Caenorhabditis elegans: one gene and its partner. The protein of the gene in region 1 interacts with the protein of each later gene in a pairwise test. Each region holds a gene or a part of one and is shown on either strand. Other genes may lie near its edges.

Region 1 (5,022 bases):
ATGGAAAAATAAAAGATTTCCAGATGTTCTCGATGTCAAACTATATCGTTTGAACGATCAAAAAATGTTGGATTGGATGAGAAGGAAGTTTGATTCTCTCAAAAAACTTCTAGAAAGTGATGCCCACAAGTCTTTGTTGTCATGTCGTAAGTTTCTCGTTTTGCTTCTTAATTTTACCAAAATGAAATAAATTTCAGCGGAAGCATTCGATCGTTATGTTTTCACATTCCTGTCTGAATATCTTTCTTCTGATCTTGCATTGATTGTTAAAGATCATTTGAATATTCAAGATGCTACTGTCTCCGAGAACATCGATATGAGTATGAAACGAAAAGCTGTGGATGACGATGAGCTTGAAGATAAGAAGCAACCTGTCGCAAAGAAACCAAAAGAATCAGTACAATCAAAGAAACTTCAAGCCGCCTCGAAGGGAACCAAATCAATCAGCTCATTTTTTGGAAAAAAATCTGCTTGAATCTCTATTTTCTTTATTCAACAATTTCGCATATAATTTCATAACATTGACCTCAATTTATCTATGATTCCGATGCTATTACTTTGCTCAATCTCAATTTTGCATTTCACACATTTTTTAATTCGTGTACTAAATAACTGAAACTTTGAAACGTTTTCGATTGAGAATACTCCTTCCGAAATGGGTCCTTTGCCTATTTATATCTATATTTAACAGTTTCATCCGATTTTAACGGATCAACAATAAAAAAAATATTTTAAGATGGCGGCACGTCTGGCTGCATCACGAATTGTGCACGCCGGCCGCGGAATCTCTCAACCTACACCATTCGGAAAACGAATGGATCGATTGTCAAATCGAGTATGGGGAGAGGTTGTCATGCCAACTGACACTAAAAGTTTAAAGGTTTTTAGATGATTTTTATAAAGAAAAGTTTCTGAAAATTTTCATTTACAGGTTGTCCGAGTAATGTCTGCAGAACCATATGAAACCAAAGAACAATTATCACCGAAATACTATCCAAATCTTCCGATGTTTCATTATTTGACCAAAATGCTACGATTCCATGGACTATTTTTTGATGATCACGTAGTTTTCAGAGATGTTCAAGATAATTTGAAAATTATTCGCGGAAAAGTTGTTCGGCCACCAATCGGTCAAGGAAAGCGTGCACAATTGAGAGGAAAGAAGTAGTGTGGATGTTCTCGAAGTTTAAATCTAGATTAGAAGTTTTGTTGATTTTTTTTTTACGTTTGTTTTAATTGAAAATAAATTCTTTTTGAGGTTTTGCTACATTTTTCCAATAAAATTAAAGTTTTTAACACAGAAAATATCGATTATTGATTTTCTTTTTAATTGCTCCACAAATAATTGGCAGACGTTGCTTTTTTCAGCAGTTTTCAGACTTAGAATTATGAAAAGAGCAATGGATGGAGCAAAAAACGAAGCGAAAAAATCTAAAGGTTTCGATTTTGCAATTTATCTGAAAAAGTTCATCTCCGGTTTACAGATACTGATTTATTTGGACGACCACTGAAAAAGACTGGATCCTGGGAATCAAAGGTTTCAAAAATAAACTTCATTAAAAAAAACTAAAGTCTGATTTTTCCAGGACAACGGCGATTTGATGATTTTCACCCATTCAGAATGTGAAGGAAAAGAGAAAATTGCCGCATTCGATATGGGTAAGAATTGGTCACATTATTTTATTGGCGAGATTTAACTTTCCATGAGTATTCCAAATTTTGATTATGAATATCAGATATGAATTGTTTCAATGGAAAATAACATGCTATAGTTTTAGAAAAATATGAACGATAACAAAAAATTAATAAGATTTCGGAGAACGGTTCACAGATGTTTCGGTTTCTTCTACACTGTCTTCCTTCCCATTAGAATCCTTAATAAGCATCTCCAATTGTTGAAAAATGTTTATTTCTGGCAATTTCGATGATTCATTTGGTTTCTGTTTTACTTCACTCTCTGTGGTTGTACTATTGTTTCCCTCGACTTTTAAACTAGTTTCTCCATTTTCTGCATTAAAATCTTCTAGGAATCCTGAAACATTTCCTTCTGATATATTCTTCCATTCATCACTGTTAATTAGTTCAAAAAGTGATTCTTCAAGCGTTTTGTCTGTTGTGCCATCACTAGTTGATGGCGTTTTTGGGCTTGAACTTCTTGCTTTTATCAATCCGTGTCGAATCATAAATCTTTGAAGCCAACCATTACTTGCCTAGAAAATATTTTATTCGAAATTCGAGTTTAAATGTTTCAAACCTTAAAGTCTGCATTTCCATTAATTTTCTTCGCATATTCCTTGATATCTTTTCCCGAAATTTTCCCGTTTTTCGAAGCAATCCAATCTTCAACTTTCTCATCTAATTCCACATTCTTTAGCGGTCTTCCTGCTCCACCGAGCCTCTTTGCTCCTTGTTTTCCTTCTGATTCGAATGCTAATTCGTGCTGAAATTCCAGAAATTTGTTGATAGAACTACTGTAGTTCAGAAATACCTTCAAATGTCTCCATCGTTGAATACAAGCTCTTGCAACTCCATATTTCTTCTGAGCTTGACAATTATTTGTTTGTTCAGCAAATCGAATAACTTCATTTTTGAATTCGAGTGTAAAATTGGCACGCTTCTTTTTTGGTGGTGGCTCGGATGAAGTTTCAAGTATTTTAGGAGAGATTTCAGTCATTTCTGAAGTTTAAAGCTGAGAATTCTACATTTCGGTTAGAATAGTATTACTCAGATTCGAAATTTTGCGATTTCCTACGCAAAAATGCGATACTAGGTCTTGGCACGACCGAATATCCTTTAAAAAGTACAGTAATCTCCCTGCCTCATTGGTTTGATTTTCCGATTTTCACATTTTTCCCAAAAAAAAATTGTTTTTTGTGAGACAAATCAAAAAATACTAAAATTTTATGCAAAATTCAGGAAAAAAGTCGAAGATGAATAAGTCAGAACAGTGACTCGTAGAGGTTACTGTACTTTTTAAAGGTGCACTTTTTTTCATATAAACTTATTCCGCAGTGTCAAGACCGAGTATCGTATTTTTGCGTTGAAAATCACAAAATTTCGCATCTGTGTAATATTTACATTTGCATCTTTAGAAAAGATAAAATAAATAAATAGAAAAAAATCAATGAATTCTAACGTCAAGAAGAAGGGAGTGCCGTTTTAATAGAGGGTGTCCACACTTCAAGAGACAACAGACAAACATTCAGAGTGTGTATGAAGATGAAGAGACACAGACAAACATACTATGCCTGTCTAATGGAGGGAGGCTGTGACCTACAATTAGAGAACACAGACGACTAGAAATACTGAGTGGTGTATGGATATATTTTTTGATTTTCTTGTTGTTGATGAGTGGGAAAACTCACGTCTTCTATCAAAAGAAAACACATATTTTTGGCGCAGAATTGATAATTTTCACGAAATATGAAATTAGTATCAAGAAACTTGGCCTTACTGAGACTATTCAAGCAGTGAGCCTCTGGCTCGGTACATTTATCCCTTGAACCTAAAATTGTGATGTAATTTCCATTTGATTTTCTTCAAATTAAGTAGTTTGCACAAATTAATAAAAATGTAATACTAATCAATTTTTTTTTTGGTAAATTGCCAAATTTTTGTGGAAATCCCTAAAATTACTGTAGATTCGAACCCCTACAACTATTTTTTGTCGATCTCCACAACAATAATAGATGAAAACCTGAAAAAGGTTAAATTTATGAGTTGTTCTAAACTTTCTAGTGTATGAAAAAAATATTTTTGTTTAAAAAAATCGTATTTTCAGACGGAACTCTGATCAAAACAAAGTCTGGAAAAGTGTTTCCAACAAATTGTCAAGATTGGCAACTTCTATATGACTCAATTCCATCAGATTTCAAAAAATTGCATTCCGACGGATTCAAAATTGTCATTTTCACAAATCAAAAAGGCATCCACGCTGGAAAAGTTGATCGAAATGAATTTAGGAAGAAAATTGAAGCAATTGTTGGAAAACTTGGAATACCTGTTCAAGCATTTGTTTCAGTTGCTGGGGGACACTATAGAAAACCATGTGTTGGTATGTGGAATGAGCTGAAATTGAGAAATGATGAAGTGGAAATTAATGAAAAAGAAAGCATTTTTGTTGGAGATGCTGCTGGAAGAATCAAGACTACAGTACGTGTGAATAGATTCAACTTTCATTTAATTCTAATTTTATAGAGTCGTCCTAAAAAAGATCACTCATACGCAGATCGTTTCTTTGCTGCAAATGTCGGTGTTAAATTTCAAACTCCAGAAGAATTTTTCGGAAAATCGAAAGTTGATGAGCCCTGGGGACCACCAAACTTTGATCCAAAAAATCTATTTTCAGAGGAAATTACTGAACTTGAACCTCATGGTGAAATAAAATTATGAGAAAACATAAATATAATTATATTTTCAGATGCTCAACTTAAATCATCCGAAAAAGAAATTATTCTAATGGTTGGATTTCCCGGTTCAGGAAAGTCGACTTTTGCTAAAATGCTCGGTCATCAACATGATTATAAAGTAAGTTTTGGAGCATTTTTCAACTCAAAAATTTTTGATTCATATTGTGAATCGTGACACGATCGGAACATGGCAAAAGTGTGTAGCAGCCACTCGTTCATATCTTGCTGATGGAAAATCTGTAGTTATTGATAACACATCACCGGATCTAGAATCACGAAAGCGATATATTGACGTGGCAAAAGAGCTCGGAGTGCCCATTCGATGTTTCGAGATGAATTGTAGTATGGAACACGCACAGCACAATATTCGATTCCGAGTGTTAACAGATGATAATGCAGCTGAAATCTCGTCAATGGTATTAAGAATTCATAAAGGAAAATATGTTGAACCAACACTGTCCGAGGGATTTTCACAGATTGTGAAAGTTAATTTCCGCCCGAAATTCGAAGTGGAAGAACACGAAAAACTTTACAAGATGTATTTGATCGAGTGATTCCAATTTGAAATTAATTAAATGTTAAATATATACTTACACATTCCAAAAATCTGAGT
Region 2 (5,912 bases), on another chromosome or scaffold:
TTTATACTTACAATAACCATTGAAATTACAGCAATAATAGTGAAAAGATCCGCCATTGTGTTTTTTTTTCTGAATTGTATATGATTTTCGGAATTTACAGTTATGAGCACAAGGATTAGTTGGAGCAAAAACAAAGAAGTAGACTAATCATGAAATCTGTGATTCTTAAATTGTCTGGATTCTGGGAAAATTATTAGAGAATAGACATCTCATAGAACTTTGTTGTCAAACAATCGTGGGAAGTCACAACGAAAATGAATTAAGTTTTCCGGACACAAAAAGGGAAGAGGTTTTGTGAATGGCTAGAAGTTAGGGCTATCAAAGATTAAATCAAGGTAGCTTCGAAATTGTCTCTTAAGATTTATAAAATGTGAAACATTAGTTTAGACTTAAAATATGTGTGATCTTTATTGTTGTTTATGACGAAAATGAATAAAACCGAAAAATTTCATGAAAACTAATGGAATGCAGTGTGGCATTCACAATAATCTCGACTATACGAAGATTTATTGGTCTAATGAATTATTCAAGTATTTGCTAAAAGTTTTTGGCATTTAATGCGAAGCTTTAATTGAAACGAAATCCTATTATGCATCACAACAAAAACACGTTAAATTTTGCAGTTTTCGTACTAGATTTCTGCAATTAGTTTTCTCTTATCCACTTAAAAAATAATTTTTCATTTTTTTGAATTACAAACTTAAAATTAAATTTCAACGTTTTTTTTTGCAAATATTTCAAATTTTCTTCTGCGCTCGTGCCATACAAACCTATAAAAAACAACTGAGTACATAGATTGTGGTGTTCAAGTCTCAAACAAACTTTGAGAAATGCTTGAAGTGAGAATTTTTGCATTAGAATTCTCAGGTTAACAAAAAGTGATGTTACAAAGAAAAACCAAAAGAATACATATGCATCTTCTGAAAAAAGTGAAACTTCTAAGAAAACTTCTGAAATTAATAAAAATGACGCAATAACAGCACATTTGTAAGCCGTAACAAAAAATACCTACATAATCGTATATTAATCCAAATGACCACCCATGCTTGTTTCAATTATTTCACGCTTTCAGAACATTTTCGAGATCTCTTCATCCAGATCAGAACAAGATCTGTTTTCGTTTTTCTCCGGTTTTTATATTAAATTTCGATCATATAGTGGTTTGTCAATCTATGACATTTAAAATTCAGCAAAAACAGTAAACATTATTCAAAATTCACCTGCATCTTTAAAAATATGGGGCTTTGATTTTTTGTTTATCAATAAAAATCGCGGCACAATTAGATTTGTTATGTTATACATTAACACCTTTAGGGTCTTGCAAAGATGCCACATCATACATGGTATTAAACTGAGTAATCTTTTTCAGTCTTACAGACAATTCCAACACTTTAACATTCTTTGAGACTTAACAGCTGTAAAAAATTTAGAACATTTGTATTGAACTGATGTGAGTATTGTATTTCACCCGGATTCACGCAAATAACAATCACATAAAATTATTAAGTTCTAGCGAAAAAAATTTGAAAATGAGAATAATTATTCAACAGTTGTAATTTTCCTATCTCCCAAAAAAGTAGGCGTTGCAATTGTAGCTATCTTTGATGACGTCTTTCCTCTCAGAAAGTTGGGATGAACTTCAGGGTGAAAATAGAGCATCACAAAACTGAAATAAAGAGTTTTGTGTCTAAATACGCTGCTCCACGCTTGATTACCCGTCGAGTGCATGAATAAGAAGAAACGATATTGAAAGAAAAATGAACTGAAACCAAAGAGCATCGCTTAGTTTGAATATGAAGATGCTGTTGATGAGATCTATCACGTGAAGACAGTCTTGAATGACACTCTGAAAAAGAAACGATAATTTGGATGCAAGTGAAGCGAGCAAATTCGTGGTCAACGGTTCTGTCTGTGATTGTGAGCTCATTGGAATAAAGATTTTCTCCTTTTTTTGTTATTATCTGATATTGCTAATATTGTTTGTGTAAAGTTTTCAGAAACTAAATATAGAAAACATTGTGTTTGAATTTAAAAACTCTGAAAAAAAATTAAACACATTTTTCGACTTTCTCCAGTTATCTCATGAAAAAGCTAATTTTTTTTCGGGTCTTCGACTTTTGTAAAGATGTGCGTCTTAATTGTCTGTAAAGCCTGATATAAACTTACTTGTGTGAACATCAAAATCAACTTCTTTTTCCGTCGATGTGCATCGGCTTGATTCATTCCAGCAACCTAAAACTTCACTCAGTTGTTACATTTTAATTCAAATAAGTCTGATCTTTTGAAATTTTAATCTATGTTTTAGAAATGATGCATATTTTTGTAAATATGTACATCATTATACCCAAGTTCGTAATGAATTTGAACAACTCATTCGTAAAAATCGCTCATCTTGAACTAATAAAAAACAAATAATCAAAAGCTCACTTTTCCAATGGACAACTTGAATGCTGTGGCTACATTCAAACAATTGGTCCACGTGGCAATAGCAACCACTGAATAAAATATTAATGAAGACATCCCAGTTGCACAGGGTGTGTACTCTTTATCCCAAGTAAATGTAGCCGGATAGAACACAAATCCGCAATTTGCTAAATATAATTAAATTTATTACTGTAACTTTCCGATGGTAATGACTCACGTCTAAAGCCTAGGCATGTGTACAGAATAGCTACTGCAAAGGCTCCAATTATAGCAATTCCTGTTATTGGAAAGTCGCTTATACGTAGGTGTCTAGTTGCAAAGTACAATGCTGCAAATCTATTCAAAGACATGAATAGCTCCAGTATTGGTCCTGAAAAATTATGGAATTAATTTTAAAGTAGAAGAAGACTTCGTACATTTTATACAGAAGTTAGTTTGAATCATTGTTTTCTAGTTGATTTGATCAACATTATTTTTAATAGACAAGCTGAGTATGAGTATGCGTATGTTTCAGATTTTAAAGACTATAGTTTTAGCCATCAAAACAAAATTATTCTATAGTTTAGGGCACAAAAAAGACAATCACGACATTGTTTTGTGTGATTTATGAGTTCATTCCCCGTTTTTTAAAAACTCATTTTGTCGCTAATACATGTCTATTGTTTAATAGAGGATTTTAGTTATTTTGTATTCCAATTCTGAGACTAAAAACTCACCTGTGACATATGCGCCAAACCCGGCAGTTTGACCAACAAATACATTCAGTATTCTTGGAATATTTTCGTAATCTGGCTGAAATATTGACAAAGGTACAACCCATATGAGAAATGATGCACACACAATTGCATTTGGAATCGTTTTGACAAGGCACAGCTTATGAAAAGCACTTGCTCTACCTGCTTTGTTGGAAAATTTTTGAAAAAGATATGTGTTCACTGCGAGACCCATTGCACTGATCTGGAATTTGGAATTGGGTACGAAAATTCTATGTAATTTCGTAATACAGTTAGATGGCTGACAGACCAAGTTTCTGAGCCCCTTTCGTGGTTTTTTTTTTGATAACCTTTTTACTTTATACTTTCAAAACTTACCGTAAACATAGAAACAACTGCAATAACGTGAAATATGACCGACATCAACTTTGATTCCGGAATAAAAAGAAGTTGGTCTGGAACCAAATTTTCTTCCGTCATAAATTGTGAGTCAATAAACGAGCCAGATGAAATATCATTCTGGACAACTAGATTTCTTGTTCGTGGAGGGGTGTTAGGTAATTGGGTTTTGTCGCCGTTATTGCCTCCTTCTCAAGTACGTGCTAAAATAATCTGAAGCTGAGAAAAAATACTGGTCACGTGATGTGTACGCCGGCTCAAGTTTGTAATTATATGCTTGTTTTGGTACTTGAAATTACGGGTTTTACGATTTATAACCAACAAATACGAGAAAACAAAATGACTTTGAGCTATGATGAATTAAATTCAGAAAAAATACCAGTTAACTGAACGTAGATGGTTTTGACATTGCAACAACTAAAATTAATGATTTTTTCCTCATCGCCTTCCGCCACATCCATTTGGGATGAACTTCGCTGTGAAAGTAGAACATGACGAATCTAAAAGCCTTATTTCTTTTTCAGAAAATTATGCTTGACAAGGCTGGCAAAATAAAACTGAACGGTAGAGTCAAGTGGAGATATGTAGATTTATACAATAACAATAACAATTTCTCGTTAGTAAATTGGTATCAAATTTCAAATTTGATTCCACTTAATTTGTTATGGAGTTTTGTAGGCAGGACTTTTCGATTTTTCAAAGCTCTCCTAACGTGTAACAAAATGAACTGGCCAAACTTCAAAGATATTTCATGCAAATAAAACGATTTAAAAAGTCTAACTTCGACACATCGCATTTCAAGCTTGATTCCATATGGATATCCAATTTTTTTAAATGTAATTTTAACTCACCCATCGAAACAGTGAATTGAGGCAAAAGAAAAAGTGAGACAGAAGAACTGAAACCATATTGAATCTGGATATATTTGCCACGTGTATGTACTGTTAATCATGTCGAGGACATGTAGACAATCTTGAAGTACAGTTTGACAATATGTGACGAGGTATTTCTTTCGGCGGACTTTCGAATCAGCTGCACTCATGCCGCCAACCTAGAAGCAATACTAAATAAATTAGTTAAAAGTTCTGTATTATATACCTTATCAAAAAGTAATCTTCCCGCTGTTGCCAGGTTCATAGAGTTTGAAATCACGGCACATCCAAGAATGGAGTAAAGGAGAAGATCGTATTGAAATATTGCACACGGCGCTTCCTCGGAAAGCCATTCCAGTGTTTCAGGGAAGTATAAGAAGCCGCAATCTTCTGGAAGTTAAAAAGGTTAGACTGGAAATCGTTTATTGATATTTTGTATTCTGTTTTTTATATACTTGATTATTTTTGAGTGTTTAACATTTTTTATGTTTTATTAATTTCAAACGACATACTTGGTAGCCCAATCACTGTAAAAACGACAGCTATGATAAAAGCAACTCCAATTGAAATTGTTGTAATTGGATATCGATTTGCTTTCATTATTTGAATTGGGAAATACAGGGATGAAAATCTGTTTGATGACATGCCGACGTGAAGAAGTGGTCCTGCATTTAGAAGATTTTAATACGTACATTTAGTGATTTCAAAAAACTCACCAAATATATATGATCCGGCACCTGCCAACTGTCCGACAAAAACATTTGCATCTCTCGGCACTTTGTCATTTTTCACTCGAAAACTGCCCAGTGGAACAGCCCAAATTAAAAAACACGCGCAGACGACTATATTTGGAACGGTTTTGACTAAACAAAGTTTATAGAATCCGCTGATTACTCCTCGTCTTGTACTGAATTTGTAGAGTAAATAAGAATTTAGTATGGTTCCAGAAAAACTGATTATGAATAATAAAAAATTGGCAAAAATTATAAAAACCATTGTAATCATTATATTTTTTCTGGCTTTGAAAATAATACTTATTCCCCCACGTGGAAGGCAGATCAGGGCCAAGAGTTGAGTGAATTATATCCTATTCCTTCTCAATTTCCTTTTCCTCTTTTTTGCGTAATCATAACTATTATAGCAAGACAGCTGCTTGACCGGGTCTGTCTGGAGAAAGCCTGAATTTCTGAGTAAAAAAATAGGGTTCAAGAAATCAATTTTTATTGTTTGAAATAAATGGGTCGTGGGGGATATCTCTGTTTGGTCAAAAATATACTTCCTTGGCGGTAAAAAATAAACGACTTGCGTAATTATATATTGCTTCTCTTGTTGTGACCCTGGTACCTCACAATTAAAAAATAAGAGAGCGGACACATTTTTAATTTTTTTAATAATAACAATTGACAATTGTATCTCAATTTTCTTTGGAAACATAGTTTGAAAAATCCCATTTGATATGAGTTACTGATTTTTATTACAGTTTGTTAAAATGTGTCAGATTTTA

Evidence for each region. Proteins that work in one complex are often made in the same cells at the same time.
Region 2: the proteins of F21D5.4 (region 1) and srx-135 interact in a two-hybrid assay, tested with the Caenorhabditis elegans proteins (one large-scale study listed by BioGRID).

What each region holds. Positions count from the first base shown.
Region 1 is NC_003282.8:8,735,741-8,740,762, reverse strand, and holds F21D5.4 (HTH CENPB-type domain-containing protein), read right to left. Parts: upstream 2,677-5,022; 5' UTR 2,675-2,676; coding exon 2,489-2,674; intron 2,441-2,488; coding exon 2,255-2,440; intron 2,211-2,254; coding exon 1,803-2,210; 3' UTR 1,662-1,802; downstream 1-1,661. Other genes in the region: F21D5.6 (Ribonuclease H2 subunit B wHTH domain-containing protein), read left to right, coding at 24-146, 198-475; mrps-33 (Small ribosomal subunit protein mS33), read left to right, coding at 737-880, 932-1,168; F21D5.5 (uncharacterized protein), read left to right, coding at 1,389-1,437, 1,485-1,537, 1,587-1,659, 3,782-4,152, 4,198-4,375, 4,421-4,527, 4,571-4,963.
Region 2 is NC_003283.11:13,856,949-13,862,860, reverse strand, and holds srx-135 (7TM GPCR serpentine receptor class x (Srx) domain-containing protein), read right to left. Parts: upstream 3,656-5,912; 5' UTR 3,561-3,655; coding exon 3,516-3,560; intron 3,382-3,515; coding exon 3,141-3,381; intron 2,795-3,140; coding exon 2,642-2,794; intron 2,592-2,641; coding exon 2,428-2,591; intron 2,233-2,427; coding exon 2,167-2,232; intron 1,847-2,166; coding exon 1,716-1,846; intron 1,667-1,715; coding exon 1,540-1,666; 3' UTR 1,459-1,539; downstream 1-1,458. Other genes in the region: srx-137 (7TM GPCR serpentine receptor class x (Srx) domain-containing protein), read right to left, coding at 12-56; srx-136 (7TM GPCR serpentine receptor class x (Srx) domain-containing protein), read right to left, coding at 3,919-4,036, 4,388-4,587, 4,635-4,798, 4,921-5,073, 5,125-5,413.